Pelodiscus sinensis: one gene and its partners. The protein of the gene in region 2 purifies or fractionates together with the protein of the main gene of each other region. This does not show direct contact. Links are inferred from orthologs where the notes say so. Each region holds a gene or a part of one and is shown on either strand. Other genes may lie near its edges. The genes, in order: HSPD1, KRAS, C1QBP and HNRNPA0.

Region 1 (7,467 bases), on a different chromosome or scaffold from region 2:
GTATTATTACTCATTTTACAGATGGGGACAAAGACAAGCACAGTAAATTGGTCAGCGACTATCTGTGCCAAATTAGATCTGAGGAGATCTTGGCTCTTTTTAAAAATGTCCTCTTCAAAATATTATAGACATTGTTTAGATCAGGCACAATGTAAATGTAAGGACAAACATCATTTAGCTATCTAGATTTTCATTTTTCAGATAACATCCTGCTTCTATTTGTTTTATCCAAAAAAGTTAGTGATGTGCAAAATTGGGATAGATTTACCTTTCCTTTGGATCCTGATCCAATTGCCACTACTGTTGCTTGTAGCACTTTCCCTTGAGATTTTTCTGGAAGCATGATTCCTCCTTTGGTTACAGTCTCAGCTGCACATTTTTCAACCAGAACACGGTCAAATAAAGGAAGAAATTTCCTAAATGCTTTCCCAGCCTGTTGAAATAGAATTCAATATTTTTGTACTGTACAGAAAAGACCAAATCACTTTGGAGACTGCAACAAAGTTGCAATCCAAAATACAAGATTTTACTATTTAAACAGCAGAAGCTTCAGCCCTTCCCATCCTCCCTAATGGGCCCTGCGAGATGGGAGGTTCAGTGCTGGCCAGTCCCAGAGAGTGGAGAAGGGTGCACCCCCAATCAGCCCCTTTCACCTGCCTGGTGAGTGTCTCTTTTATGTATGGTTTTATGAGAAGTGATCCCATTCCACGTATACCCATCCCTTATGTTGGTCCCAACTCTTACCATCTAGGAGATCTTGAATAAACAAACTCTAAAATATATAATAATATATTAACTATATTACAAACACTGCCTCTTTGCTGCATGGAGAAGGAACAGAAAGCAGGAGGGGGAGCGGGTGCAGCTGAGGATGGAGAAAGAAAACCCAACACTGAGAACTGCAATTACTTTGAAGCTAGCAGCAGGCAATAGCAAAGGTTACCAACCTAGGGCTGTTAAAAATGTCAGTCTTAACTACTGAGCCAGGAGGTAACAGCAGTGTTTGAGATCACAGAGTGCAAGCCACATACAAGTCTGCAATCCTTGCAACTTCACTAAGCAAGTAACACAAGAAAGGGAGCCAAAGAGAGCCAGAACACATTTTAGTTTAAAAGCAATCAAGTTGTTGCATATGAAGAATTGCCAAGTCACAGGCTGCTGGCTTCCAGCACCATTCCAGTTGCTTCTACAGATGTCAAAGTGCCACAGCCTGGACACGTGTAGAATCAGCTAGAAATACAGAGAACGCACAAGCCCGGATCTCTCCCTTAGGGGCTATTGCTACACAAAAAAATAAATTTGGAAGCAGGATGCGGATATGATTGCCAGATCAAAAATATTCTTAAAAGTATTAGCGAACGTTGGTTCATCCCCCAGTTCTATTAAGACTTGGGCAAGGCTATCAACATGTTGAAAACATCTAGTTTAACCAATTGCATAGATTTAAGAATTTGGGGTCTTTTTATACTAACTTATGTTCTTTTAAATCAGTGTTTTCTGTGACAGGAACGACCACATACTAAAGGGATCAACAAAAAAAAAATAGAAAAAATTAGAAAGGAGTTTTTTCCTCCCGCTGTGGCTGTTGGATTTGGCATCGTCTAAAGACACATTACAGAGACCTACTAATACGAGCTCACTATCGCTTTATTAAGTTTGAAACAAAATACAGGACTGTGTAGCACTTAATATCACTGTATTAAGTTTGACTTTTAAAAATAACTTACTGTCTCTCTTAGTGATAGAAACGGTGAGAGAACAAACGTATTTGAAAAAGGTCATCCTTGCCCTCACTGGTTCCATGGCTTAACATGATTTGATCTGAGGAAGTGGGTCTGGCCCACGAAAGCTCATCATCTAATAAACCATCTTGTTAGTCTTTAAAGTGCTACATTGTCCTGCATTTTGCTTCAGCTACCCCAGACTAACACGGCTACATCTCTACCACCATGGCTTAACAGTTTCTGCGGTATTTACATGACCTTGTGAGCAGGCAAGGTCAGGCTCAGGGACAAGCCAAGAGACGAAACCCAGCCCAATTATACTGTATTGATTAAGAAGACGGTTCCTGGGCAAGTCCCAGGCCAGCTGGGAATGAGGGTTCAGGGAGGCTCGCTGCCTGTTCAGCTGCTAGGACACGTTTCCATGCCCAGGGGCTCCGGGCCGACCCAGCGGATGTGCCCGGGCGATCGCGTGTCGCGTCTCGCCCCACTGCGGTAACCCCCCCGCCCCCCGGCCCCGCGCTCAGCGCCGCCGCCCCCCGGGCAACCCCGGGCCCCGCAGCCCCAGGGCGGCAACTGGGGGGTGCCCAGAGCCGCCGCCCCCCCACTGCGGCCCAGGGGCGGGCCCCGGCAGCACCGCGCGGCGGGACGAGACGCTCACCATGGCGCAGCGTGTCCCTCCCGCTCTGCGACTGAGCGCCCCACTGACCCGCCGCGACTGCACGTGGGGTGGACCACTCCCGCTGCGCATGCGCCTCCCCCTCCCCTCGAGCGGCGCGCGCCGGAAGGCGGGGCTACTTCCGTTGTTCCTGGGAGACAAATGCTTTCGGCACTTGTATTTTTTTACTCTCGCCGGCAGTTTCCGCACGAGAACCGGACTCTCTATGCGGCGATGTTAAACGGCGGCCTCAGTACCGCCTCGTTGCGCCCGGCAGCGGACGAACATCCGGAAGTGACGCAATACCACCTTTGACCTGTGGCGAGCATGAGCGTTCCAGAAGGTTCTGGAATGGGGAGGCCCCGAAATCTGTATGATTCACACGCTAGGAAGCGGCGGGCGCACATAGGGCGCGAGGTCTCGCAGGCCCCGCCCACGCCCCGGCTACGCGCTTCCGCGATTGGCGGGAAGCCGCGCCCCGCCCCTCGCCGGGGCCCGCGTATGCTGTTATGCGGCTTGCGGGGCCGCGCTGCCCGGGACCCACATGGGCCGCTGCGTGCGCGGGGGAGGGGCAGGGCTGGCCAGCGCCGTGTTCCCTCCAGGCTCCCGTCAGTCCCGCCGCGCGGCTCGCCAGCTCCCAGCCCTCCCAGCGCAGGTGAGCGGCCCCTCACAGCCCCTGTCCGCCCGGCCCGCACGGTGTGAGCGGCTCCCCGCCTCCTGCGCGCGGGCTGGGGGGAGGGGAGACCTTCGCCTGGGGGGGGCACGTGGCGAGCCTGGGGGGGAACGTGGGGGGGGGGGCACGTGGCGAGCCTGGGGGGGAACGTGGGGCGGGGGGGCACGTGGCGAGCCTGGGGGGGGAACGTGGGGCGGGGGGGCACGTGGCGAGCCTGGGGGGGGCGTGGGGCGGGGGGGCACGTGGCGAGCCTGGGGGGGGAACGTGGGGCGGGGGGGCACGTGGCGAGCCTGGGGGGGGCGTGGGGCGGGGGGAGACGTGGCGAGCCTGGGGGGGGCACGTGGCGAGCCTGGGGGGGGTCGGGGCGGGGGAGACGTGGCGAGCCTGGGGGGGAACGTGGGGGGGGCACGTGGCGAGCCTGGGGGGGGTCGGGGTGGGGGGGCACGTGGCGAGCCTGTGGGGGGGGGCGGGGGAGACGTGGCGAGCCTGGGGGGGGGGGCAGCGTGTTCCCCGCTCGGCTGCGCTGCCCCCGCCCCTGGCCCCGCACGCGTGGGAACCGGCCCTCGTGCCGTGCCTTCCGCTGCCGGGCTGCACGCTGCCCTGAGCCCGTGGCCGGCTCCGCTCCCTGCCCGCCGTGCAGCGCGGCTCGGCAGCAGCAGGGGGCGAGCGCCTCTTGACCTTGCTGTGTCCTGACGGTGAGAACCGTGCGGGGGGCCGGGGCTTTGCTGACTCTGCCGGGCTGTTGCTACTGTTGCAGCTTTTGTGCTAGTTGCTAGTGACATGCTCTCGCCCTGGGACAGCGCGGGCTTGGCTTTCCCTGTCGCGTGCCCCTTGGGGAACGGGGACTTCATTTTGGGGACATTTCTGCTGATAAAGCTGCTGAGCTCTGACCAGCCTTGTCTATAGTCGTCCCGCCCACTCTGGGAGAGAGAAATGCCCCTTTCCCTGTTCTCTAACACATAATAGTGCTGTGATAAAACTCATTGTCACCGTGGCTGTAATCTCTGCATGTGAAAAACAAAATGAACATCACGTTCTGGTGAGCTTGATACACTTTATTCACATTTTACAGACTAAAAACGGAGCTGCAGGAGTTGTGACTTGCCCAGGATCACATAGCCTGTCACTGGCTGAGCTGGAATTAGAATCTAGGATTCCAGGTGGCCGGACTTTCGCTCTGGTATCCAGTGTCTAGTAAAATTAGGGTACTGAATATTTGTTAGGTCACAGCTTTCATTTAAAACTCAAGAACTATTAGTAATTTATTTATTCCTTAAATTTTGGGAGGAATTTGAGGACAAAATGTAGGAATAAGGCTGTTCAAAGGACTGTGACAAATGAAAACTAACGTGGTTGTGTTTTTTTATTTTAATTTATGCTTCAGAAATGCTCCGTTTATCAACAGTGCTACGTCAGATGAGGCCAGTGTCCAGAGCACTGGCCCCACACCTACTACGGACCTATGCAAAAGATGTTAAATTTGGAGCAGATGCTAGAGCTCTTATGCTACAGGGAGTAGATCTTCTAGCAGATGCTGTAGCTGTCACCATGGGACCAAAGGTATATTAAATTATTTTTTGTGTAATGTGAATTCTTGTTCAGTACAGCCCTGTTTTATAAACCAGTTGGGGATTGAGGTATTCGTAAAGTAAAAAATGTCATCAAATGGACCATTTCAAAATTATAGTAGATACAGTGCATAAGTTAATTTATCAGTCATTAAACCACTGTGTGCACAGAAATAGTAAATGAATAATATGCCAGACTCTTGTTAGAACTTAATCTCTGTGCTGCTAAATTAGTCTTTCCAGCACCATACAGGCACTTAAATTTTGGCTGGACAATTGTTCAGTGGATGGAAGATGACTTATGGCAGGATATATTTATGATGGTTAGTATTAATGGAATGTTACTGTTTTAGAAGTGTCATGTTCAGAACCCAGTTCAGTTTAAAGTAATAAACCCAATTTCATGTTGGGAGGAAGCTAAGTACTCCCATCACACAACATAAATGGTTCCCCACGAGCAGCCTACTGCTTCAACCTGCCATGATGGAGAGCTGCTTCAGCACTGTTAGGCAGCCCCTGGTGACTGATGCTGGCAGCTGGAGTCCCACTTAATTGGTTAACCAGTTGATTAATCTGTTATTGTTTAGCTGATTAATCAGGATTTACATCCCTAGTAAATAGCGTGGCTTATGTGAACATGCAGTGTTGACTATAATAGAGGTAGTTGAACAACCTACAACAAATTTAGGTTTTCAGAGTACTAGCTGTGATGTTGGAGCAAGACAGTAATTTTGGATAGGGGTTGTGTTTAACGCAAGGCTTTGGAGATCATACACCTCTCCTGGGCAGAGGTTATTGACCTGTGGACCACTTTGTGCTCAATCAGCATATAGCTGTGGTGCAAGTGACACCCTCAGGGCTATATAGGCAGTATTGTGTATCTATAGTGTGTGGCTGTGACCCACAATGGCGATAGGTTGAGAACCACTTCTCTAGCGAGTATAAATCCAAAGTTGGGGTCTCTGTATTGGGTTTCCTCCTGATTTGCCCTGGTAAACCATGTAACCGCGAACAAGTCCCAAGGATATAATAAAAGGAGTGGCTGTTAGGTGAATACACCTTTAGGCTCAATTCTGCAAGTGTTTATCCTAGTGAGTAATCCCATTGCATGTAGTTGGATTACTTCCATGAATAAAATTATACACAGTAGGTCTCTGCAGGATTGGAAGTGTGTGTGTGTGTGTGTGTGGGCGCGCGCGCATATAATTGAGTTATCTCCAAAGGTGAGTGTTTCATTACTCAACACTCCTTAAATATCTATCTAATCTAAATTTTTTCATGTGGGATGACAGTGATGTCATTATGTCACTACGTCCTGCTTACCTCCTCCCTCTCTAGTGCTCCAGATGGGAGCCGGGGCTGCCACCGCCTGGCCTAACACCCTTTCCCCGCTGGCAGCTGGAGGAAGAGAGCCAGGACTGGTGTGATGGGTGGGAGGAAAGGGGGTAGGCCAGGGCTGCCATGCATCAACCTGGCCCTTCCCAGTGGCTGACCCTGGCTGCCTACCCCCAGAGAAGGAGGGTTGGCGAGCATAGTGAGCAGGGGATGCAGCCCCCTAGTTCTTTGTAAACAAAAAATGTCAGCTTGAGAGAAACCAAGTGGTGAGGAAATTCTACTTAATTTGTGTCATGGCTTTTAAAAAATAATCTAAAAACCTATGTAAGACTAGGTTTCTCAAAGCAGTTACTCTGTGTTAATGGAAATGGAATTGGTTTGTCTTCATGACTGACAAGGTAACCCCCAAGCCATAAGCTGCGCTGGGGGGGGGGGTGGTGTGTGTGTGTATCTGAGTTTCTTCTTGGTCCAGCCATAAAAGTAACCCTTATTTCTATGTTCAATTCAAAGGCTTAACTGTAAGAATAGTATTCTAGTATTTGTTCAGTAATCTGCAGACTCCTCATAACACCATTCTCTCCAAAATCCTAAAGTAGAGGAGGTTCTCAGCTCCCCCCTCCCCCATTCTGGGATATCATCTGTCATGTTCCAGAACTCCAGTCTCCAGGCCATCCACTTGAGAGTTCCCACATTTGCTTCCTTCCTCTTGACTATTCTCTGGTAATCCCAAATCAGGTCTCCCACGTGAACTAGCTGAGTTACTCACGTAGGCCTTCCTAAATTCTTCCTGCTTTTGGGAACCATTCTGTTGCATCAATCTTATTGGTTTGGATTTGACTTTCCCTAACCAGGCTGGCTCTTCCCTTTGTTTCTAGGGGCCTCTGCACCAGCTTTCAGCATTGGCCAGTCCCCATCAGTAATACTCTTTAGCTTTTGTTCTTCCCAATAGCTCTCTGCACCTGCTCTCCTTTGCTGCTTCTGTTTCTGCATCTGTCCTTTCTTCTTGATCCGGCTTTCCTGACTTCGCTTTTATGTAGCTCAGGTGCCTTTTCTTAACCCCCTTTGGGAGGCAACTAATCAGTAGGTGCCCGGGCCCTGCCCCCTCTTAAAAGAGCTAGTCACTCCGTGATAGTTGGAGGTGGCACCTTCTTAGCTTTTTCGAAGAGCAAAAATGTAACACATATAGGAGAATGCCTAGTTCCTCAAGGTGAGGGTTGACAAAATGATGCAAAAAGTGGTAAAGTGCCAACAACATAGTATTGTCTGCATTGGAAGTTAGGTTGGTAGAACTGGTTGTGAACTTTTCACACCCCTGAGCTAGTGATGTGAGCAAGTAGTTGAGTTCTTGGCTACCAGATAAGGCTAAGTGTAGCCGGGAGTCGAGTATTTGACTACTTGCTTCCCTCCACCTGCTTGCTGCCTCTGTATGAGAGGCAGTGGGTGGGGCAGGAGCTGGCTTAAAAGCTGGTTTCCTCCCCCAGCACCAGCTCTATGGTGCTGCCTCTGCAGGGT
Region 2 (8,055 bases):
TAGGCACCAATCTCACTAGGAGCCACCTCGCCTGGAGTTCCACTGAAGTCTGCAGAACGCTGCATGAGCACAAGGGTCTACCTGACACATCCAATGGCATCATCAGAGCCCTTGTCTCCAATCCTGCAAAGACTAATTCGCACATTCAAACTTTATGCCCTGTGAGTGGTTTCATCAGAATCAATGGAATTACTCCCAGGGTGTAAATCTGAGTATATCTGTGCAGGAGCAAGGCCCTAGACTGCAACATTGATTGTTCATCATATTTGTCTGTAAAGGAACTAACACATTGAAACCGCAGTAATTGTTGCAAAGTTACAGTAAAGCCGTTGGCCTTTTCTCCACTGATACCTGCATGCTCATTTACAAAGAAAGTTTAAGATAAAAACAGTGCAGGACAGAACATGCCCAATATTATTAGCATTTAATTACTTTCAGATGTTTCATGGCCCTGAGTAGGCCCATAGCTAGCCAAAAGGAAATGGGAGGCTTTGGGGAGCTATCAGGAATCACCAAACTTAAATAGGAATGGGGGTGCGGAGGAGGAGAATGCGTCCTGAAGGGCATTCTCTGGAAATTTTAAAAATACAATGTACAGTTAGAGTAGATTTTAAGACACTTGTATATAATCATTTTATATATTAAATTAACATGTTTACTGTGTATATATCTGGTATTCTTTACCTGAATAACTTGCCAATTGGCAAATGATATTATATTAAATTACCCATAAATGCCACACACACAAAGCCAAGCACTAAATGCCCTTTCACATTTCCCAGGCCCAAACACAGACATATAAAGAAGCAGCCTCACGTCTCTGTAACCCATGCTATATGGTTAATATCTCCATTCCCACTGCTCCCTTTCTATATTTTGAAGTCTCTCTCTCTTTACTTCTCTCTCCCTCACTTTCTTTTCTCCATGATTCCAAATTTCTCTCTCCTTCACCATTCCCTTCTACTTCTCCTAATCCCTGAAATCCACAACTTCTTTTCCCAAATCCACAGTCTCCCTGTCCCTACTTTCCCCTTTTTCTATGCAATTAATCTCTTTACTTATTTTCTCCATTCTCACATAACACAATCCATTCTTTCCTTCCAACTCTTTTCCCCCCGGCACAAGAATATATATTTTAAGATCCACCCCACTTTGCTCACCTACAGCTGTCCATCATTAACTCTCATAAATTCATCAGTTCTGAATCTCATTCTCTTTATAATCTGTGCTCCCTCTCCTGCAGTCCTTTCTCCAACTCCATGTTTCCTTTGAAGGTTCACTTATTGTGCAACCTTCCTCCAATTTCCTTTCAGTGCCTTGCCCAAAGGAAATGTTGGCCTCACTCACTCTTCAGTGCTGAGTCTGCATGAAATTCAGATAATTTGCCTATGCTAAAGTAGGCCTACACTGAGTGTGTGTGCATGTGTATTTAATAACCTCCTTTCTAAGGTGACAGGCTTTAGGATTACAAATTAAACATGGAAAATTAGCTTTGTAGACTTAACATTGTCACGTCACATGGAACTTCACTAATGACCGAGTAATCCATGTCACAGTATTACTGAATTTAGCAAATTAAGTAGTAAATGAGCAAACAGGGTTAAAAAAATCAAGGAAAATACATCACAGAATGCATTTGTTTGGTTGACCATTGTAGTTTTAATAATAGTATACAATGAAGTATCAGTGTTCCATAGTGAATGTTGTGAAAGTAACAGAGACCCACACCAGAGGCTTCTGTTAAATCAGTGATCTCCAACCTTTCAAGGTTGCCGGGTGCCAGGGGGCGGGGCCGTTCGCCCGCCGGGCGCCAGGGGGCGGGGACACTTGCGCCCTGGGGGCGGCCCCCCCCATAGCCGCATGCCCGGGGCGCCCCCCCATAGCTGCATGCCCGGGGCCGGCGCTCCCCCCGCCCAGCGCCGCGCGCCCGGGGCCGGCGCTCCCCCCGCCCAGTGCCGCGCGCCCGGGGCCGGTGCTCCCCCCGCCCTGCGCCGCGCGCCCGGGGCCGGCGCTCCCCCTGCCCTGCGCCCGGTGCCAGGCCAGCCCCGAGCACCTGGCAGGCGCATGGAAATGCCCCCGCGGGCGCCATTGCGCCCGTGGGCACCGTGTTGGGGACCACGGTGTTAAATGATTGCTGAAAAACAGGGAGAAATTGCTGGGTATTCTGATCTCACAATGTAAATGAAAACAACTTCACGGAAGTCAATGGAGTTAAACTGATGTAAAAAACAACAAGCAATATCAGAATCTAGTCCAATGTGTGCAAATGATGGGGTGCGAGGATTAGTGAAGTGTGATTTAGTGAACTTCTACTACAGTTCTAACCTAAGAAGCAAACTATTTCAAAAAGCTAACATCATGGGTTTGTTACCTAGATGTGTTTTCCCAGAAATGGATCTATGTTTCAAAATCCCTGGCCAAAGAAACCTGAAGTGACTGCCAGCTTTTGTCTGAACCTGTCCCCAAAAGTCCATCCAGCACCCCTATGCCCTTTACCCAGGGGTGGGCAATAATTTTTGACAGGGGGCCACACCAAGATTTTGGAAAGTGGTCAAGGAACGCACTCTTCCATGATATTAATGGAGATGAGGGGTCTGGAATGGAGATTGGGTGCAGAAGGGAGCTTGGGTAAGGGACTGGGGTGCAGCAAGAAGACTGGAGTCTGGGAGGGAGTTTGGGCGAAGGAGATGGTTGTGACCTAGGGCAGGGGACTAGAGTGCAGGGGTTTGGGATGTGACCTAAGGTAGGAGGGGATTGTGATCTGGGGCAGGAGATTGCGGTGCCAGATCTGGAAGGGGGTATGGGTGTAAGAGGGGAACAGAGGGTTTGGGTATGTTGAGTGGGGGGGGGAGGGGCAGAGATTTTGGGCAGGAAAGGGCTGGGTTGCCAGAAGCAGGCTGTGGCCAACAGACTTACTTGTCAGCTGCCAAACTTGCCTGCCTGCCTGCAGAGCTTAAAATGTTTCCCAGTCAGCCAGCCTGCCTGCCTGGCCATGACCTTCATGAATAACTGAGCCCAAGAGAGGGGTGTGATTCTTCTTAGTTGCCTGTTAGTCTAACAAGCAGCTCCCATTAGCCAGTTTCTGCCAAAAACTGGCCAAGGGGAATGTGCTGGGGGCAGTGCAGCTCCTAAAACTTCCCTTCTCCCCTCCAGGTTCAAAACAAAAATGGAGCCCTGCAGCCACTTTTCTGCACAGCGCACGGGAATGCGGGGCAAGCTCATGAGCCTGCCTGGGGCTCCCCGCTGCCTCCGCGGGTCAGATCCAGTGGCTTGGAGGAAGGGATCTGGCCCATGGGCTGTATTTTGCCCAGGCCTGCCTTTACTCCTACATAAGATCTCACTTTTCCTTTTGCTGTTCCCGCCGGAAAACCATTGTATTCACACAAACAGCGTTTGCCCCTTGCTTCCTGCAATCTCACAAATGATTAACTTGTCTTCATTTTTAAAGCTGAGGAAGAAAGTTAGTTTTTCAAAGATGGACTCAGCATAGGAGACATTGTAACCCTCATTAATGCTATAAGTGGAAATGGAGAAAGAGTGGCAAGCTTATCCCAGGAGGTTGTATATGTGGAATTAGAACAGAGTGTGATCCTGGTGACTTTACCAACTTTACATGGCCCTTCATCAGACCTGTTCACCTTTCCACCATAAAGCGTTGTTAACCATAACTGTGACTGGGGTGCATGGATGGGCCACATTGAAAATACCACGCTTAGGGCAGACTATAAGAAATGGGGTACACAATCCCCAAAACTAGTGGGTTTATTCTATAACTAGCTCCACCAAAGCCAAACACAGTGTTCTTTAGGCATTCCAGCCCTTGGCTCCCATCTAAACAACCAAGTCTAACATAGTGAGAGGTTACTGGAAATCCTGTTAACCATACATAAAGTTCTGCCAGTCCCAAAGGATCAGACACTTCAAGTTCAACAGCAAACCCAGATCTTCTCTAAAATCACACTGTTAGCTAATCCTTAATAAATAAATCTAAGAATTATTAATAAAGGGAAAAAAGAAGAGTTACAAATGGTTAAAAAATCAATATACATATGAATAAGTGTAAAGTCCTTATCTAGTTTCATAGCAGAGACAATGAGGCTGCTGATTTGTAAAAGGCTCTCTGAAATCAATTCAAAGGGTTACAATGTAACTGGCAGTTCAGGTGAAGAGTCGGGGGTTTTCCATAAGAATTCCAGGGTAATTCCGATAAATTACCTGGAAAGCTCAGTCCTGTGGTTTAGACCCGCTCTATAAAAGCAGACCTGAGAGACAGGATCAGGCCTGAGGCTTCTCTTTTATAGCTCTCTAGCAGGCTGACAAGCCTCCTCATAGAAATTGTCACAGCAGGACTTTCCTCTGAGGGAGAATAGGCATTGCAAATAGTTGTCAGACATAGGCTTTGAAGTTAATTTTCTATTTCCTATGCATACACAGATAATGTCATTACACTGTAAGGCAACAGAGATAGTTAAGCTGAAAACAATGTAGTTAAATTATTAGTTTCCTGCAGTATCTCACATCTTTGATCTTAAGGTTAACTAAACCATCCACACATGTAACATAAGGCAATTAAGATATGAAAGAGAATTAGCATCTACAGCTACTTTGATTACTTTGTTAAACTTCTAACAAGATATAGGTTAATATCTTCCCTTGATTTCTATTAAATTAACGGGTTAATGATTGCTAGCCTAGTACATCTCTGAAATTCACAGACAGGTGAATTGTTTTGATACAATTGTAGTACATCATGTTAAGTTGTTCTGGGTCACACACAGGTGGCTGGTCGGTCAGTGTCACAGTAACATGTTTTCTTTATCATCTATTAGTACTGGGCTACTAAACACACGGCCCCGGGCCGCATGCAGCCCGTGGCCCATTTGTTTGCAGCCCACAGGATGGTTTGGGTTTTCGCAGGGCTCAACATGAGCCCCAGGGGTGGGATCCTTTGAACATGGCCTCCACTGGGAACATGCTCCACAACGGGGAGGCATCTCCCAGGCGGGATGAGCACTGAAAGACACAAGCGGATGGGCTGGCTAGGACAGACAGGTACAGGATATCAGCATTTCTAGCCCCCAGAGAGAAGGTGCCAGGAGAGTTGGAGCATTATGGGAAGTGCTTTGTATTGATGCCCGTCAGTGTGAATGAAGCTATTTGCATATATTTGCATATATATTTGCATGTACATGCAACCACACTTAAGTTGCGGCCCTCAACATGTGCTGAGAGGATCATTGTGGCCCCCAGAGCTTCCAAAGTTGAGTAGCACTGAATTAGTATCTCTCTGTCTGCTGAGACTCATCCCCATAGCATGAGTACCTTATTCTAAAAGTAACACACTAACTTGTTCTCTGTGTTTAAACACAATGTCCACCTAGCATTGCCACTCATTATGGTAGATGAGGTTGAAGAAAAGGACAGGACAGAAACCTCAAATTTTGACTCTGTATTCAGTGAAAAGTAAATGCAGCTCTGGGAATCATGGACTAATGATGAGCATGCCACCTGTGAGGCTGAGCAAATTGTTTTTTGAATCAGCTGGAGATTTTCAAAGATTGACAATTTGATTCTCAAGTGCAGTGGTATAGACCATCATATCTCAGGTGACTGAAGCCCTATCTAGCACATAAGCTGGATGTAAATCTTCCACACACTAGCCCATTGTACACTAATGTAGCTATGTACATTCTCTTGCAGAATACTAAAAGTACCCTACAGAACTTTTATCTAACCTACATTGAAACCAAAATATATGAATGCAAAGTAGGGAAGTGTTTGTGCACAGCAGTAGAATCCACATGGACACAGCATGGTGGAGTAGAGTCACATCCCAGTTGGATATGAATTAAGTATTCATTAGACAAACCCTGATTTCCTATAGTGGATCTTTCTGCTTCAGGTCTTCAACTCTTTTGCTGTTATATTAAGTGAAGTTCCTCTACTCCGGGGTTTCCCAAACATTTTTGGTCATGGATCCCCTATGGAGTCCTGAAAATTTGGTGGAGCCTTTACTAGGTCTTTCTTATTGTCAGCAACAAGATCTTGAATGCAACATGCAACAGTACTGTTTGACAATGGTGCCACTTTTTTAACTCAATTGCTCATCAGGCATACATGTTACAATATATCTTACACAAGGCTGGATGAGTTCTTCTGCAATTGTATGTGCTTCTCCAGCGTGTGCAATAAGGTAGTTCACTTTGTAGCATGCTTCTGTGTGTTTTCATTACCCAATTTAGTGATTTGTATCACTGAGAGTTTATTATTTGAAAGTGCCTTCATAATTTAGCAAGTGTCAGAGAACGGACATTGTTACACACCACACACCATGCATCGGGAGCATCTTTATTTCCAATGCAAGTAAACTAAAAGACTAATAACACTCATCATACTTGTGTTTCTTTTTGCTTGCTGCTAATCCAGTGGATGAAAGTGGTTTCCTCTTCAACAGCTCACTTTCTGATTTTTCAGTCACAAAAGGCATTGATTGTCCTTTTCCTTTCCCAATATTTTGCTTTGTTTGTTCCAGCCAAAGTCCAGTTGTTAGAAGCCAAAGTTTCTTTTTGGACCCACTTATCCATGGAGAATGTGTTTTGATACTAAGGGTAGGCAGTGATGTATTGTCAAATGAACGACAATGCAGTGTGAAGTGCACTGTATTTCAGCGAACTTCAGTCCAAAAAAAGGGGGAAATAAATATCGTCTTAAATCTTTGATTTGTGAAGAGGTAGGCCAGACGGTAGTATCAGGTGCTTGAAGCCTCTGATATAGGTCATCAGGCCTCTAGCTCTCGTGCAACTTGCTATATGCTACCGCAGCGCACTTCTATGTTTGTCAGCGATAGCCTGAGTGTTTTGCCAAACTACTCTTCATTTTATACAACCCCTACCCCCATTTCATGTTGCATGTCAAGCTTATTTATTGAATACAGCCACAATAATTCTCAATAGGTTATTTATAAAAAATGTTGTCTCCATTTTTAATTGAAAAAAAACCCATTGCTCCAAATAATTGTCATTAATATTTTCTCGTGGTGTCCCCGGGACCCATTGCACAGAGCCCCAGGGCTCCACGGAGCACACTTTGAGAAAGCCTGATCTATTCTATTCCTTCTCGAGCATGAACCAACGAGTGCATTCTTACTATGTTCTATCTCAAAAAGGATGTTTATAACATTAACCTACAAATCCAGCTGGGATGCATAAACTCTTCATTCCACAGCCCAAGCTCTGTGCACGCAGCAGAACAAGCCACTTTGCTTTCTTTTTTGGCCAGTCTGATATCACTAAGGGGATCTTTGCTTGATGACAACTATGCCAGATCAAATCCATGTAACAGCATAATCTGTCCTTTTTCAAGATCCAAATCTTGTCAGCACTTTGCTACAGCCACTGCTTATGAGCAGACAATTGGATCTTGTTCATGTTCTCATTCACTGGCTGTGAGTCCTGAGAAAGTCACACAGACTGGGGAGAGGAAATGACGGGTAATTTTTCTATTTAAACAATGGCCTTGAAAAACTTTACTGAGACATATATTGTTGTCGAAAGAAATTGCTGCAACTTTAAGAGTGACTATTTTCTAAGGTACTGAACACAAGCACTATTAGCCAGAGGAAATTGTTCATGGTTCATTTTAAACAACATACGAAACATTAAAATGTCTTTAAATATACTTCTGAAACACATGAAAAACACAAGAAAAAACGTGTAAACTACGCAGTGGCAGAGACTACACATCTGCTAATGATACATATAGCAACCATCCCATGAGGAAGAGACAGACACATACACTAGCCAATGCAATTCAATTATCAAGGTTATTTCTTTGCCAATGGATATTTTCTATGGCACTTATGTTTACAAAAACAATCAGGATTCATAAATCATCTGAATTTATGGATATGTATTCTGCCAGCTATTCATCCAGATAACAAAACTAGATTAAACCTAACATATGCAGGTACATGGACTGAATTAACTTGGTTCAAAAAAATCATGCATCTTCCCAGCAACCCATCAATTTTTATAAAAATGGAGACTTATAAAATAT
Region 3 (8,207 bases), on a different chromosome or scaffold from region 2:
TTGTTTTTGCTGAAGCAACTACCTCTGAAACCTATCCTTCTGGAAGTGAGACACTCAAAAGCCCCTTGAGCAAAATGGCAGCTCATGAAGTATGCAAATGCAGCATAGCAATATTCACCGCTTCGTCTCATTTTCATATTTTCTTGCGCAAGACAGCGCAGTATAGATGTAGCCTAAGTGAAGCATTCACACTACCAAGCCCGTTATTCCACAATTGCGGGCTGCAGACTTCAAACCCTGTAGTGCTTTTCACGAGGAGTACCACTAGTTCCAACTTTGTACGTCCAAGATAACAGTAGTGCAGACATTCTGGTGTCACTAATTGGCCTCTGGGAGGCCTCCTGCAGCTGATCACTCCAGCCACGCTTGGCCAACCCACTGCTCTCCCCTCCTGCGGCGCTCATCCTGGAATTGATGTCATGTCCCACGTGATCAGCTTTGTGAGCCCTGTGCAAGTGACCAGCACATGGAGACATGAGTGCCCCCACTGTCCTCGCTGACATCGTGATGGTTGCCAGCACTTCTGCTCCCATGGCCCCCACTGCCCAGGGATGCAGAAGAGCTCCAGCCTGAAGTGCTAAGGAGATCCTGAATCTCACTGAGTAGGGCGGGGGGGGGAGGAGGGGGCGTTCAACCTCCATGAACTCTGCACAATGCAGGCAAATGCCAACATCTATGGTAGGATTGTCTCCAGCTTCTTGGCCAAAGGCCACACCAAGAACCTGCAGCAGTGCAGGTTCAAAATCAAACAGCTGTGCCAGTCCTACCAGAAGGCCAGGGAGCAGAGCAGCTGTTCTGGGGCAGCACCTGCCACTGTTACAACCAGCTGGATGTCATTCTGGGAGGGGAGTCGGTTACCTCCACCGCCGTGGTCCAGTCTGGCCTAGACATGCCTGGCATCAGCCTGCAGGTGGGCAGGGTGATGGAGGAGGATGCCAGAAAGGCAACAATGCCTGAGAGCTAGGAGCTGCTCCTCGCTTTGGAGCCGGTCCGCCCCTTCCAGGATGTTTCCCAGGCTTCTGACAACCCTGGGGAGGGCACTTCTGGTGAGTTTTCTAACTTTAGCTGCAAGTGAGGGTCAGGCAAAGGGCTGCATGCTCCTCTCTGTTACTCACTCTGGCTGTGTCTACACTGGCATGAATTTCCAGAACCGCTTAAAACGGAATACTATTCCGTTTTCAGTTTTTCCGGAGAAGGAGCGTCTACATTGGCAGGCTGCTTTTCTGGAAAAGCCCCTTTTCCGGAAAAGCGTCTGTGGCCAATGTAGATGCGCTTTTCCGGAAAAGACTACTGGGCTGTCTACACTGGCCCTTTTCCGGAACAGTGTTTCAGAATAAGGACTTATGCCCGAGCGGGAGCAGAATAGTTTTTCCGGAATAGCGGCTGATTTTGTACAGTAGAGCATCGTTGCTTTTCCGGAAGTTCAAGGGCCAGTGTAGACAGCTCACAGCTTATTCCGGAAAAGTGGCTGATTTTCCGGAATTAGTGGCCCAGTGTAGACACAGCCTCCGAGGGTTGCAGAACAGCTTGTTCACATGTCTGTAGATGGCGTGTCAGGCTGGAGCACTCATTGCCACAATGCTGTCACACAGGAACCCTTTGATCCTTCTCACACGATTCCCATAGAGGCCTGCCTTATTCCAGCCTCTGTGGTAGGACACCTTCCTACACTAAGCCACCAGGAAGCAGTCTGGGGTCATGGAACCACATAGCAGTGTAGCACGCTGCCCTGATTCATGCCCGCACACAGTCAGCATTCGCTCCAAATCAAGCACAGTGATGCAGGGAAGACTGATGATATGCATAGGAACCTGCTGGAAGGAAGAAGAGGAGGGGAACCCATTAGCACTTTCTGCCACTCATACACACTTCCCCTCTCCTTCCAGCAGGCATTGATAGAAATTCTCACCGCAGGATGCCACGAGTGCCAGACCCAGCATGTGCAGGACACAGTAGGAAGCTGAGCCGCCCCCCGGCATGGTCCTGGCCTGGTGGGCACCTTACCATGCCTACTTATCTCCAGTCTCTGTGTTTGTGATGCTCCCCTGGGATGTCTGTGCACCTGCTGGAAAGTACCTGCTTTAGAAGCAAATTATGGCCTTGCTCAAAACACAGTGCTGTTGTCTGAACTGAGACCTTCAGTGTTGGCTCAGTGATTAGGGCTAGGCTTCATACAAAGCGTTTCCTGTGAAGACTGCCCTTGTAAATTCACAGCAGGACAGCGGTGAGCTGGGCATGTCCCTAACTTCCTGCTGCATCTATCCACCTGACCAGGATCTGCAGATGAATAAGAACATGGGACATGCTCATGAGGGAGCAGCTGGTCTGCCTGCAGTCCCTCATGCAGGAAGTCAAGGCAGAGTACCTGGAGCAGGTTACTGAGAGGAGCGGCAGGCTGACCAGGAGACAGAGGCCACATGGGAGCAGCTGGTACACCAGCGTAACATATTCTCTACCCTCACAGCAGTGCTGGAGCATGTAGCAGCATGCATGGATTGGGCCACCAGCCACATCCCACCTGCTCGATGGCCACCCCTGCAAGGGTCTCCAGGGATTGCTGGGACCCCAAAACACAAGGCATGGGGCCCTCTAGGCCACCTGGAGGCAAACACCAGTCCCAGCCCTGGCCCCCATTACAGGTTCTTTCTCCATTCCCTTCCCTGTTGTATGTCCACTGAATAAAGACTCCTGTTTGTTAATCAATGATCTCTTTATTGTTTGCTCTGCCAAGGAGGGCAGGAAAACAGAGAGACGGGGATCTCTCTCTCTCACACACGCACACACACACAGAATGCAGGGTGGAGAGTCTCACAACTGGTCTTGCATAAAACTGTCTTTCAAGGCGTCTCTGATGAACAATGCCCCTTGCTGTGCTCTCCTTGTGGCACTGGTGTCTGGTTGCTCAAACTCCCGAGCTAGGCGTTCTGCCTCAGCCCCCCATGCTGGAAGAAAAGTCTCCCCCTTGTTTTCACACAGGTTATGGAGCACACAACATGCCGCCACCACGAAGGGCATGTTGAGCTCGCTGATGTCCAGGCGGGTGAGGAGACTCCTGAACCTCCCCTTTAAACGCCCAAATGCACATTTCACCACCATTCTACACCTTCTCAGCCTGTTATTGAACTCCTCCTTGCTGGCATCCAGGCGGCCTGTGTAGGGCTTCATGAGCCAGGGGAGCAAAGGGTAGGCTGCATCTCCCAGGATCATAATGGGCATTTCCAACTCTCCGACCTTGATTGCCCTATGGGGGAAAAAAGTGCCAGCACGCATCTTACTGAAGAGGGATGAGCTCTGCAAGATGCGTGTGTTATGCGCCTTTCCCGACCATCCAACGTTGATGTCAGTGAAGCGTCCCTTGTGATCCACAAGTGCCTGCAGCACCATGGAACAGTACCCTTTTTGGTTGATGTAGTTTGAGGCATGGTCGTCAGAAGCCACAATGGGGATGTGTGTTCCGTCTATGACCCCCCCACAATTGGGGAAGCCCATGTCGGCAAAACCATCCAAGATGTTGTCTATGTTGCCCAGAGTTACAAACCTCTGTAGCAGGATGTGGTTGATGGCCTTGGCTACTTGTAGGAGCACAGCCCTGACTCTGGATTTCCCCACCCCGAATTGATTCCCGACTGAGCGGTAGCTGTCTGATGTAGCTAGCTTCCAGAGGGCAATGGCCACGCGTTTCTGCACGGGGATGGCAGGTCTCACTCGGGTATTCAGGTGCCTGAGGGCAGGGTCAAGCCACTCGCAGAGTTCGAGGAAGGTGGCCTTGCGCATGCGGAAGTTTTGCAGCCACTGCTGATCATCCCATCCCTGCATGACAATGTGATCCCACCAGTCCGTGCTTGACTCCCTCCGCCAGAAGCGATGTTCCATTGTGTCGAGGGGAGTCAGAGGCATGTACAGAAGCAGGAGTGCCAACACTTCGCTAACCATGGCTTCTGGGCCATGCTGGACCTCCTCCTCTTCCTGCTGGAGCAACGTGCGGGCATTGTCGAAGTACTGCTCCATGAGGCGCAGCATTGAAGCCATGAGCGTGGCACTGCCTTGCAGCTGCTCTGGCTCCATGGTTGCAGGGCTGTGGTGCCAGTGTGGGAACCCAGGGCACAACAAGACAGGTGCCCACCGTGTCCCTTTCCTGTTGCACAACAGGGGCGTAATGGAGGAGCACTTGTGGGATGCAAGAATGGAGAGGAGCCTCTGAAAGCCCAAGTCGACACCAGACGGAGCCGCTCCCCAGAGTTCCGCCTGGGGCGCCGAGGCCGAGGCCGGCTCTGAACGTGGACACGTCACCTCCGGGAAACTTCGATTGGTGCCTGATGCGGGGACACGGCTCCACAGCAGGTGCCCAGCGCGCGAGGTCAGTGAATTCGAATGGATCCCGCAGGGACCAGCGGCTCCGGCGGTGCGGGGGGGGGGCGCGTTGCAGGGCTGCAATCCCCCGGCGCGGCTGCAAGGCACGAATCGAGGCAGCGGTTAGGTCTCGAGCCGGCAGGCCCCGGGCCAACTGCCGCCCGCCCGCGGCCTCCGAACCGCCCCTCCGATCGGTTTGCGCGCGACGGTTACTGGGCGGGGCCGGGAGGGGCGCGCGACGGTTACTGGGCGGGGCCGAGAGGGGCGCGCGACGGTTACTGGGCGGGGCCGGGAGGGGCGCGCGACGGTTACTGGGCGGGGCCTGCTTCGCGCCGAGATCGGCCTGCGGGAAGAGGGTCCCCTGGCCCGGCCTTAGAGCGGGGGCGCCAGCGGCAATGGGGGGGGGGCCTTACCACGCGAGCTCGGTGGAGGCGGGGACGCGACTCCTTGTACGGCTCAAGGGCGGCCCGCGGCTGCCGCTGCCCGAGACCTGAAGAGGCAGAAGCCCCCTCATCGAACCACTTCCGGGCGACCGCGTGCACTTCCGGGCGACAGCTTCCGCTTCCGGGCCAGGGGCCGCCCCGTGTCCTCTGCTCCCGCACGTGCCCCGCGCCTCACTCGGCCTCGCTCTCCCGCCAAGGATGCTGCTGGCCCGGGCCCTCCGCGCCGCCGCCGCTGCCCTCCGCCCGCTGCCCCAGCGGCCCCCGCGCCTCCTGCCCTCCGCGCTGCTGCGGCCCGCCACCGCCCGCCCCTTCACCCGCAGCCTCTGGCTGCTCAGCGCCGACCCCGCCGGGACGCAGCGGCCCGGCCTCCTGCGGCCCCCGCGGGCCTCCCCCGCCGGCCTGTCCTGCGGCTGCGGCGGCCTCCACACCGAGGGTAATGGGGGGTGGAAGGAGGCAGGGCGGGGGCAGGGAGCCCTGGACGCAGAGCGGGTTTCCGAGGCGCGGGGCTGGGGCCGGCGGGTCACCCGCGAGGGGCCCAGACGTGCGCGCTGCGCCTGAGCCGCGCTCGGCGTCTGGCTCCTCGGCCTGGACTCGCGGCGGCTTCCCTGGCCGTGACCGGCTCCGCTCAGCGCTTGGTGATTCCCCCCCGGGGGCGGGATGCTGCGCTCGGGCAGCTGCGGGGAGAGCCTGCTGTGTCTCCATCGTCTCCTGGCTCCTGCCATGGGAGAGGTCTGGCTAGCACAGCAGGGGGAGTTGGGGCTGAGGCAGTTTCTGCTCCTAATTTTGCCATTGACAAAATGGGCGGCCTTGGGCAAGTTTCTCAACCTTTCTATTATGTGCATCGCTGCACTCCTCCACCCCTCTTAACGAGGGATGTGAAAGGTTAACTGGTCACCTGATGAACCAGTAAAAGCATCACCTTAAATGCAAATCCTGAAGCCTGAGATCTGGGCTTCTGAAGAAGACTGCAGAGCAGCGTGGATCTGCATAACTTGAGAGGGGTTGATGCCATCCAACTTCTTGTGCTCACTTCATTCATAAGTTAGGTGCTGTTTCCCTCCTATATTGTACCTGTAACAGTACTTGCATATATTGAAAGAAGAGCTTTTTAATAATGTCTTTTAGTAATCACTCCTTACCTAAGCCTTCATCCAGAACTTCAGAACCTTTGGCAAATCAAGGGCTCTTACATGTCCTCTCTCTGTAATCAACATAATTCTTTGCCCTCAACAGTATAGTGCTTTTCAGCTGAACATGAACAAACACTTTATGAACAAGTAGGCCTTCTAATATCAGTATAAAGTCTGTGGTCTTACCTCACCATTTTATACCCAGATAAGCTGAGGTACACACAAGCTATTTGGTCAAGTACGTAGCTCAACTAGAAATAGAATCTTGAGGCTTAACTTTACTTTCTCATCTAACCACTAGGGAACAATGTTTCTAACTCAGGTGTATTAATGTCTTTGTCTTTTTTATTCCTTGAAGGGGACAAAGCATTTGCACAGTTTCTGACAGATGAAATTAAAGAGGAGAAGAAGATCCAGAAACATAAATCCCTGCCCAAGATGTCTGGAGGGTGGGAGCTAGAAGTGCATGGCACCGAGGCTAAACTGGTGCGGAAAATAGCTGGTGAGAGGTAAGTGTGAGATGGGTTTTTTGCTTAATTGATATTTGATCTTTTCAGTGAACATAAAGGACTTGGTAAAAATTGCAGCCAGCATGTTTTGTCCAGGATTGAGGTTAATGAAAAGCTATTAACTTAGTGCTGTTTCTCATTGTCAGCTCTGCTGTCATTCAGGGCCAGTACAGATAACAGAAGCTTTGTAGTCAATTTATTTTTCTATACTGTAGCACTGTGGTCACCAACAGGTCGATCGCAATCTACTGGTCGCTCGCGAGGCCTCAACCAGTCGCTCGCGAGGCGTCCTGTCTGCCCTGCCCCCATTTCCCTCCCACCCCCGAGAAGCCCCACTACTTACCTCAAGTGAAAATGGAGGTAGTGTCGGCTTCCCGGGAATGGACAGAAGTCCTGCAGCTTAGCGCCACTTCCGGCGATTCCAGAAGTGCACTAGCTGCTCTGCCGGGTGTTCTGTGGGAGGGAGCATTGGCTCCCTGCACTGCACAGGAGAGGTGAGTCAGCCCCACGGGAAGCGCGCAGGGGGTTGGCCCCCGGGCAGGTGTGCGCGCGGGGCTTCCCTGGGCGGGGGGGTTGGCGCCGGGGCAAGCGCGCACAGGGTTTCCCTGCGCCGGGGGGTTGTCCCCCTGGGCAAGGTGTGCCCGCGCGGGGCTTCCCTGCGCGGGGGGGGGGGGGGGAGCGGTCGGCGCCGGGGCAGGCACGCGTGGGGCTTCCCTGCGCGGGGGCGGGGGAATCGGCACCGGGGCAGGCGTGCACGCGGGGCTTTCCTGGGCGGGGGGGGGGGAGGGGGGGTTGGCGCCGGGGCAGGCACACACTGGTTTCCCTGGGGGTGGGGGGTAGAATCCTGGGAGGAGGGAGATGCAGGGGACTCTCTGTCTCCACTCCCCAGCCACAGAACGCTGTCCCCACTCACCTGGCCCCAGCCACAGAACGCTGTCCCCACTCCCCGAACTCTGTCCCCACTGGCACCCTGTCCCCAGCTGCAGAAACCTGTCTTCTGCCCTCCCAGCACCTTGTTCCCTTTCCCCTGCCCCCAGCCACAGAACTCTGTCCCCACAAAAATGTATAATTATAAATGCTTCATTTTAGATTTAAATAGCATGAATAAAAAACAGACCATTTATTTCATAACTATAAACATGTGATTTTAATTGTATGTATCGCATAATTTAAAAATAAACTGTTTATCAGAGTGTGTAAGTAAGGGCTGGGGATAGCAAGTGATGGACAGGAGGAGAATAGAGAGGGCGGGCTTTCAAGGAAGGGGCGGGGTGGTAGATCTTTGCCTGTTCTGAGATTTTAAAAAGTGATCTTGGGTGTAAAAAGGTTGGAGACCACTGCTGTAGCACAATGGGGTATACTTTGCCATTGTATCTTGCCTTTGTCTTCTAAGGATTCATGGCCATTTTACCTTGGGGGGAAACAGGAAACATGAATTTAACCTAGTAAACTAAGAATACATTCGTTCATAAATACAAGGAATTTATGTGTTTTAAACTTAGTACAGTTTATCTTTGAGAGTAGCACACCATGCAAAGTGCTTGGAAATTCAGTGAAGTGCATACTGTACTTCAGACCCCATTAGTCATATCAGCAATGTCAGCAACTGAAATTTGGTGAGCTGGAATAGAGCTGTGACTTTCGGTTGTTCAACTAGCTGGCCTTTCTCTGGTATTTAATCTCATCCTTGTTGTGTTGAAGGATTACCGTTACATTCAACACTAACAACAGCATTCCACCAACGTTTGATGAAGAACCACAAGAAGGACAAAAAC
Region 4 (7,152 bases), on a different chromosome or scaffold from region 2:
ACTCCAGACCTTTAATTTAGTTTGTCTTAAAAAAAAGTTTTAAATTAATCTAGTCCAATTGAAGATAGAATGCCAATTTCATTTGAAATCAGGCTTATTGTAACTCATCAACTGATCTTATTTTGATTTAGCATAACTCCAACTGAAATCAGTGTCCACGGAGTCACTGATTTTTTTAAAACAATGATTTGAAAGTTACACATCAAAATGGGTGGAGCTCATGGATTTGTAGTGCGCTATACTACTTCCATTTAAGACAATGGTAATTTTGCCATTAGCTATAATGGAAGTAGGATCAAACCCATGGAATGCAGTGAGAAAACAATATGGTTAAAGGTTAAACATTAAATGCTTAGAAACCTGGAACCAAAGTGACTTTACAATTTTTTTTTAATCCATACCCCATGTCATACATACTCTCACTCAAGCATGTAAGGAATTCAATTCTTTATTTGTGATATCCATAAACCCATAAACGATGCTATTCTATATTTCTATCCAGGAAGGCAGATTTCCCCTATAACATTATGCTTTTTTTTTTCCAAATAAACAACAAACTTTAATTCTATTGCGTGAAAGGGCTACAAATATACATTTGTTAATCAAGCAGACTACACAGATATTTTGCTTTACAACTGGCACCTATGTTACCGGTACACTTAGCTGGCTCATTCATCATAGCACTTTGCCCAAACAGTTTAGATTACCACTTCTTTTGAAGGATGGGCAGTTGTAAGTTTTAGAAATGTACTGAAGCAGATATTTCAAATCCATTTTGTTTCAGTCAGTATGCAGGGAGCCCATCTTTAGTCACATGCAGATTTGATTTTTATTTCAGTCTACGCCAATCATTTAATGGCATATGACACCTTTCAAAAAAATCTAGTAGAGTTGTTAGCAAACAATTTTGCCTCTGTTGTAACGAAGCCTACAGCAGCAGTTCTGCCATTCTGCCAGTAGATGGTGCTGCAAAGGATACTCGGGAACTTTAACGAAGGACAATAGTTCAGATCAAGTGAAGAGTCTGTTTTAACCTGGTACTATGAAAACAAGTAGGCATTTAATTGAAGGAATAAATGTTGACCCTTTCCTGTAGCGAATCATTTACAGACAAGCCAATAAGAGGATCTGAAACTAAGCAATTGGAAATTTTGAACATTTTATATGAATGAAGCACATGCTTAACACAAACTATTTCTTTAGAACTACACAGTACATACGTTGATGGAAAAGTCCTATAGAAAAAATTGACCAACCATGTCAGCACGTCAATCAAACTGCCTAGTACAAGATGGTGGATGCACACAAACTGCAAAAGTGAGAATGAATATTTAAAAAACATACCACATCCACCAATTAGTACTTCAAAAATTTGTCCATAAAGTGTTTGAAAACCAATAAATCCACTAATGGGACAGCAAAAATAGTAAATTAGGACCTTTACTGGCAATAAAGTCTCTAAATACATAGAGAATTAAAAGCAGAGGAACAATACTTGTTTCAAACCCAGAAAAGCCTTAAACCGTACGGAATGGATCCTAGGAAAAAAGTTAGACATGTAAAGGTCAATGAACACAATGATTTATTTAAAAAATAAAAAACGTAAAAACGATTTTTTTCCTCCTTTACAGAAATGTTAATTTCAGTCATGGGATCCAAGCAGATTTTGTAGGGGAAAAAAAATGTAGTAGCCAGGTATCGAGTCCTTACAACAAAGTAAATTCCCCCCCATCTTCCTCCCCCGTTTTTACTTCAGAATCAGCAAGACATTTCCCACCCCCCACCCCAAAAACAAAATTAAAACAAGACATTTTCATTGCTAGTATAAAAACGACCAAGGTCCAAGTAATAATAAAAAAATAGAGTCCATCAATGACTGTAACACAAAGTATGTGTGTGTGGGGCCCAGTCCATCTTCAGAGAGAAAGAAGTGGCACAGGCAGAGCACCCCCAGAGGGCATTTAGGAGCTGCTCCCACAGCAAGGGAGGCATTTACTAAGAACTGCCCTTAGGCGAGTGAGCGGAGAAACCATTAGAAGGTGCCCCGTAACAAAGGGAGGGCTCTCCATGCCACCCCCGATGGGTATGGGCGCTCCCAGTTAGAAGGAGCTGCCGCCATACCCTCCCCCACCATAGCCTCCTCTGTACGGTCCACTGTTACTGCGCCCTCCCCAGCTGCCGCCCCCTCCTCCTCCGCCGCCGCCGCTCTTCATGGGGCCGTAAGAGGACTGATGCTGGCTGTAGCTGCCGAACCCGCCGTACCCGTTGCCATAATCTCCGCCTCCACCACCTCCTCCGTAGGAGCCGCTGCCGTAAGACCCGTAGCCGCCGCCTCCACCATAGCCTCCGTAGCTATTATAGCCGCCGCCTCCTTTGGAGAGCCCGTTGTGGTCCCGGTTGCCGGATCCACCGCCACCCCGTCCTCGTCCTCCTCCCCTGCCGCCCCGAGAAGGCCTCGAGGAGCCGCCGCCTCCGCCTCCCGACTGGATGTCCTCTTTGGGCACGGCCTTCTTGACCTCCACGCGGTGGCCCTGGATCGGATGGAACTTGACCACCGCGGCCTTGTCGGCGGCGTCGTGGTTCTGGAAATAGACGAAGCCGAAGCCGCGCTTCTTGCCGCTCTGCTTGTCGGCGATGATCTCGGCCTTCTCCACGGGGCCGAACTGGCTGAAGTGCTGCACCAGGTCCCCCTCGCCCACGTCCCCCTTGAGGCCGCCCACGAAGAGCTTCTTCACCTTAGCGTGGGCCCCCGGCCGGGCCGAGTCCTCCCGGGACACGGCCCGCTTCAGCTCGACCGCGTTGCCGTCCACGGCGTGGGGGGAGGCGGCCATGGCGGCGTCGGCCTCCTCCACGGCTGAGTAGGTGACGAAACCGAAGCATCGGGAGCGCTTGGTCTGCGGGTTGAGCACCACCACGCAGTCGGTGAGGGTGCCGTAGGCCTCGAAGTGCTCCCGCAGCCCGGCCTCCGTGGTCTGCACGTTGAGGCCGCCAATGAACAGCTTGCACAGCTGCGAATTCTCCATGCTGCCGCCGCCGCCGGGGCTGCGCCTGGGCCTGGCGCCGAGACTCCTCCTCCTGCTGGGGGGCAGCGCGGGCCTCTCCACGTACAACGAGCGCCGCAACTTCAAGACAGCAGCAGCTGCCGCGGCTCCTCCTTGGCCTCGCCTGGGCTCGCCTCGCCAGCGACCCGACCGCCGCTGGTTCCACAGAAAAGCGGCCTGGGGGTGGGGGAGCACACCGACACGCACAAAATGGCGGCTGCTACTCCTCAGGCGCTCGGCCGGCAACTGGTGCTCACACAAAGGGGACGCTGGGAGCCCCGCCCGCCGTGCCGCCGTAGCACCCGCCCTCAGCGCACACTGGGCCAATAGAAAGGCGCAGCAGCGGACGTGAACGTGTCACTCACTAGAAGGAGGGGCTTCGTGCGTGATTGACGTCTCCAGGACTAATCGGATGACGCGACCTCCGCCGCGCGTAGGCAAGAGGAAAAGAGAGGGTGGGAGTGAGATAATAACTGACGTCCCAGCGAGCCAATCGACTTCCTGTAAAGCAGAGGGTGGAGAGGCGGGGCCTAATCAAGAATCGACTAATAGGATTCTGCAGCCTCAACTCGCGCCGAGAGAAGAGGAGGGAGGGAGGGACCGACTTGAAGCTGCGATAATGCGTCAACCCCGAGGACGTGAGCCAATAGGTCTCCTCCTTCCCAGTCGCGCGCTTCCCATTCCCCCCCAACAGCCCCGCCCCCGCGAGTGGGGGAAGGGCGTCGCCTAGCTTTTATGGCAGGCCGCGCGGGAGCGTTTGAAAAGCTGACCGTTAGGCAGCAGTTTCAGTTACAAGTCCCTCTCCCCAATGAAATGAGAGAGAGGCCGCCCCCCCCCCCCAGCACGGGCTTGAAGCTCCCAGCACCTCGCCCGAGAGACGGGCTCCCCTCAGTCATGCCCCCGCCCCAAGCACTTGCCCCGCAGTGAGAGCAGCCGCCTCAGGGGCCTGGCCAGACTCCTGCCCAGCAAAGCTCCCCCACCTGCACTGGGCCGGAGGGGCGGCTGAGGCAACCAGCCATGTTGAAGCGGATAAACCTGAGGGGACACCCCCCCCCCCCAGGGCCGTTCTCTCGTGCCTGCTGCGAGCACCGCAGGGCCTTGCTCCCCGCGCCCCCTGGAGCTCGTCCCTTGCGGCCCCTGTGCTGAGCAGCGACTCGGAGCTGGCTCTCTGCGGGGCAATTCATGGCTGCTCACACCGTGCTCCCCACTCCCCATCCATCTGTCCCATTGCTCTGCCCCCCCCCCCCCCCCCGGCCTGCCCTGGGAGATGATGGAGGCCAGGGAGGGAGCGGGTTCCAGCTGGCTCGGGGGCAGAGGGATGGGCTCAGTCACACCTCTGCTGCTGCTGGTGTTTGGCTCCCGCGCAGCGCACTGGGAAAAGCAGCGGGTGCTGGAATACGCTTTAGCCTTGTCTAAAGTGGCTTCCATTATAAGCCTGGGGGTGCAGAAGCAACCCCAGTTCAGCACCTATGTACTGAGGAGCCAAGAGCAAAGGGAAAACATGCTCTGTGGGGGTCAAGGTGACATTTATAGGCCCCCTTCCTTTGATTAGTGGGAATCTGCCTAGGATCCTTTGGTGGTCCACTGACACCTGGGACGGGGCCTTGCCAGGCTGTGAGGCGTCCGCCTATTCTCACGTTTAATTTCCTATCATAGCACCTAGGCATTTATTTTATTGTGCTCCTTCCTTCCCATCTGGGTTGAGTTATGGATTTGTACTTTCCTACAACTCATTATTTTCACATTGCTTGTCTTGGGGTAGGAGTAATGGGTCCAGCCTATAAGAAAGATATTTCCTTACCTTTCTCCTTGGCTGTGTCCAGACTCAGGGGTTTTTTCGAAAAAAGTAGCCTTTTTTTGAAAAAACCTCACCTGCGTCTAGACTGCAGCTGCGTTCTTTCGAAATTAAATCGAAAGAATGCGGCTTTTCTTTCGATTGCGGTAAGCCTCATTTCACGAGGAAGAACGCCTTCTTTCGAAAGTTCCTCTTTCGAAAGAAGGCGTTCTTCAATGTAAATAGGGCTTCTTCGAAAGAGAGCATCCAGACTCACTGGATGCTTTCTTTCGAAAAAGCAAGCCGCTTTTTCGAAAGTTCAACGTGCAGTCTAGACGCTCTCTTTCGAAAGAGCCTCTTTCGAAAGAGGCTTGCAGTCTAGACATAGCCCTTGTTTTTTAATGGACCAACTTCTGGTGGTGGAACAGACAAGCTTTCAAGCACCACAAACCCGAACTAGGAATGTCAATGAGTAGTCAACTAGATAATTAACCAATAAGCCTAGGCTTATCAGTTAATCTTGTTGACTACTTACATCCCCCCACTTGCTGCCTCTGTATCAGAGGCAACAAGAGAGGGAAAGCAGGAGCTGGTGCTGAAGGGAACCAGCTTAAAAGATGGTTCCCCCAACACTGGCTCCACAGTCTGCTGCCTCTAGCAGAGGCAGCAGCGAGGGTGAGGGGAAGCTGCTTCATGGTAGCAGCCCCTGTCCACAAGGGGTCCAGGGTACCCACAGACAGTGGCTGCTTCGCATCTTCGAGGTAGCAACCCCCAACTGCGGGAGAGGGTCTGAGCTCCCTGAGGACAGGCTGCTCTGCATCTCCTGGAGTAGCCTCTGTCCATGGAGAACATGGGACCCTCACGGACAGGGGTTACTGCCACCCCACTCTGCTGCTTCTGTATCAGAGGCAGCAGCGTGGGGTGCCAGGCAGCCAGTCCGTGAGGGGAGCTGGTTTTTAAACTGATACAGAGGCAGCAGAATGGGGTGAATGGGCGCTCCCCGGGTGTGGAGCCAGGAGCGCACTGGTTGCCAGCCCTGCCCCCAGGTACTGTTGAATAATTGTGTAAGCACAAAGATTTCATGTGGTTACACGACTACTCAAATACCTGCTATCTAACATCCCTAACCAGAACAAGAGGGCTGTGTCTACATTGGCAAGATTTTGCGCAAAATCTTGCCACCTGTCTACACTGGCCGCGAGTACTTGCGCAAGAACACCAACGTTCTAATGTATAAAATCAGTGCTTCTTGCGCAAATACTCTGACGCTCACGCTCAGGGATAAGCCCTCTTGCGCAACTGTTCTTGCGCAAGAGGCCAGTGTAGACAGGCAATGTTAATTTCTTGCGCAAGAAAGCCTGATGGCTAAAATGGCCATCGGACCTTTCTTGTGCAAGAGAGCGTCTACACTGGCACGGATGCTTTTGTGCAAAAGCACATCTCTTGCGCAAAAGCACATGCCAGTGTAGACGTTCTCTTGCGCAAATACTTTAACGCAAAAACTCTTGTGTTAAAAATATTTGCTCAAAATCTTGCCAATATAGACGTAGCCGAATAGTGCCTGGGAATTAACTATGAGGTTAGGAAGTTGTCCCATTGCCTAGCAAAGTATGTCCAAGATTAAGTGGGCCACCAAGGGATCGTAGCTTCTCCAAGAGATTCCCACTAATCAAATAAGAGGAGCTTGTAAATGTTGCATAAACCACAAAGAGCAGTAAAAGATATTCTATCACCCACCTTGCCTTTTACATTTTAAAACCATTTTTCTTTTCATAGCCCTTCTCTATTCCCTGTTTTACTATATTCTCTTGTTTATCCCTTTTGCAGCTCTCCTTACCCCTTTAGGTTCATTTTTACTTCCCTTTCATGTATGCAGTGGTGTTATAGACGTATCAGTCCCAGGATACTAGAGAGAGTGTATGGGAGAGGTAATAATTTATTGGGCCAACTTCTGTTGGTGAGACAGAGAAGTGTTGGGGCTTACACAGAGCCCTTCTTTTCCTTTCATACAGCTCTCAGTCCCCCACTCTCTTTTTGTTCTTCCTGCCAGTGTTTTCCTATCCAATTTTCCAATCTATTTCATACTCTTCCCCTCGAATCACTATTATCCCTTAATTGGCTTAGTTAGTTCTCAATAACTCAAGCAATTGGCACTTTCTATTTTGCTAATGGGTCAGGCATACCAGTTCCAGTTAACCAGGAGGGACTGGAGCAGCCCCTGCCTGCCACGGACAGGGATTTACTCCAGCCCCACAGGGTCCACCGCAAGCAGGGGCTGCTTCAACTGGCTGGCCACAACAGCCCCTATCTATGGCAGGCCCAGTCTTGTCACAGGCA

What was found.
Region 1: the proteins of KRAS (region 2) and HSPD1 purify together in Homo sapiens (affinity purification with mass spectrometry; 3 studies listed by BioGRID and IntAct, with this or other methods). This does not show direct contact. The link is inferred for Pelodiscus sinensis from reciprocal best matches to the Homo sapiens genes KRAS and HSPD1.
Region 3: the proteins of KRAS (region 2) and C1QBP purify together in Homo sapiens (affinity purification with mass spectrometry; 3 studies listed by BioGRID and IntAct, with this or other methods). This does not show direct contact. The link is inferred for Pelodiscus sinensis from reciprocal best matches to the Homo sapiens genes KRAS and C1QBP.
Region 4: the proteins of KRAS (region 2) and HNRNPA0 purify together in Homo sapiens (affinity purification with mass spectrometry; 3 studies listed by BioGRID and IntAct, with this or other methods). This does not show direct contact. The link is inferred for Pelodiscus sinensis from reciprocal best matches to the Homo sapiens genes KRAS and HNRNPA0.

What each region holds. Positions count from the first base shown.
Region 1 is NC_134717.1:71,507,553-71,515,019, reverse strand, and holds the start of HSPD1 (60 kDa heat shock protein, mitochondrial), read left to right. Parts: upstream 1-4,438; coding exon 4,439-4,612; intron 4,613-7,467. Other genes in the region: MOB-like protein phocein, read right to left, coding at 269-433, 2,383-2,472. UniProt on the Homo sapiens protein: Chaperonin implicated in mitochondrial protein import and macromolecular assembly. Together with Hsp10, facilitates the correct folding of imported proteins.
Region 2 is NC_134711.1:118,849,971-118,858,025, forward strand, and holds the start of KRAS (GTPase KRas), read right to left. Parts: upstream 3,249-8,055; 5' UTR 3,241-3,248; intron 1-3,240. UniProt on the Homo sapiens protein: Ras proteins bind GDP/GTP and possess intrinsic GTPase activity. Plays an important role in the regulation of cell proliferation.
Region 3 is NC_134731.1:25,931,830-25,940,036, forward strand, and holds the start of C1QBP (complement component 1 Q subcomponent-binding protein, mitochondrial), read left to right. Parts: upstream 1-4,991; coding exon 4,992-5,226; intron 5,227-6,281; coding exon 6,282-6,432; intron 6,433-8,133; coding exon 8,134-8,207. Other genes in the region: uncharacterized protein LOC102447468, read right to left, coding at 2,809-4,447, 4,764-4,864.
Region 4 is NC_134727.1:31,945,671-31,952,822, forward strand, and holds HNRNPA0 (heterogeneous nuclear ribonucleoprotein A0), read right to left. Parts: upstream 3,294-7,152; 5' UTR 3,024-3,293; coding exon 2,100-3,023; 3' UTR 433-2,099; downstream 1-432. UniProt on the Homo sapiens protein: mRNA-binding component of ribonucleosomes. Specifically binds AU-rich element (ARE)-containing mRNAs. Involved in post-transcriptional regulation of cytokines mRNAs.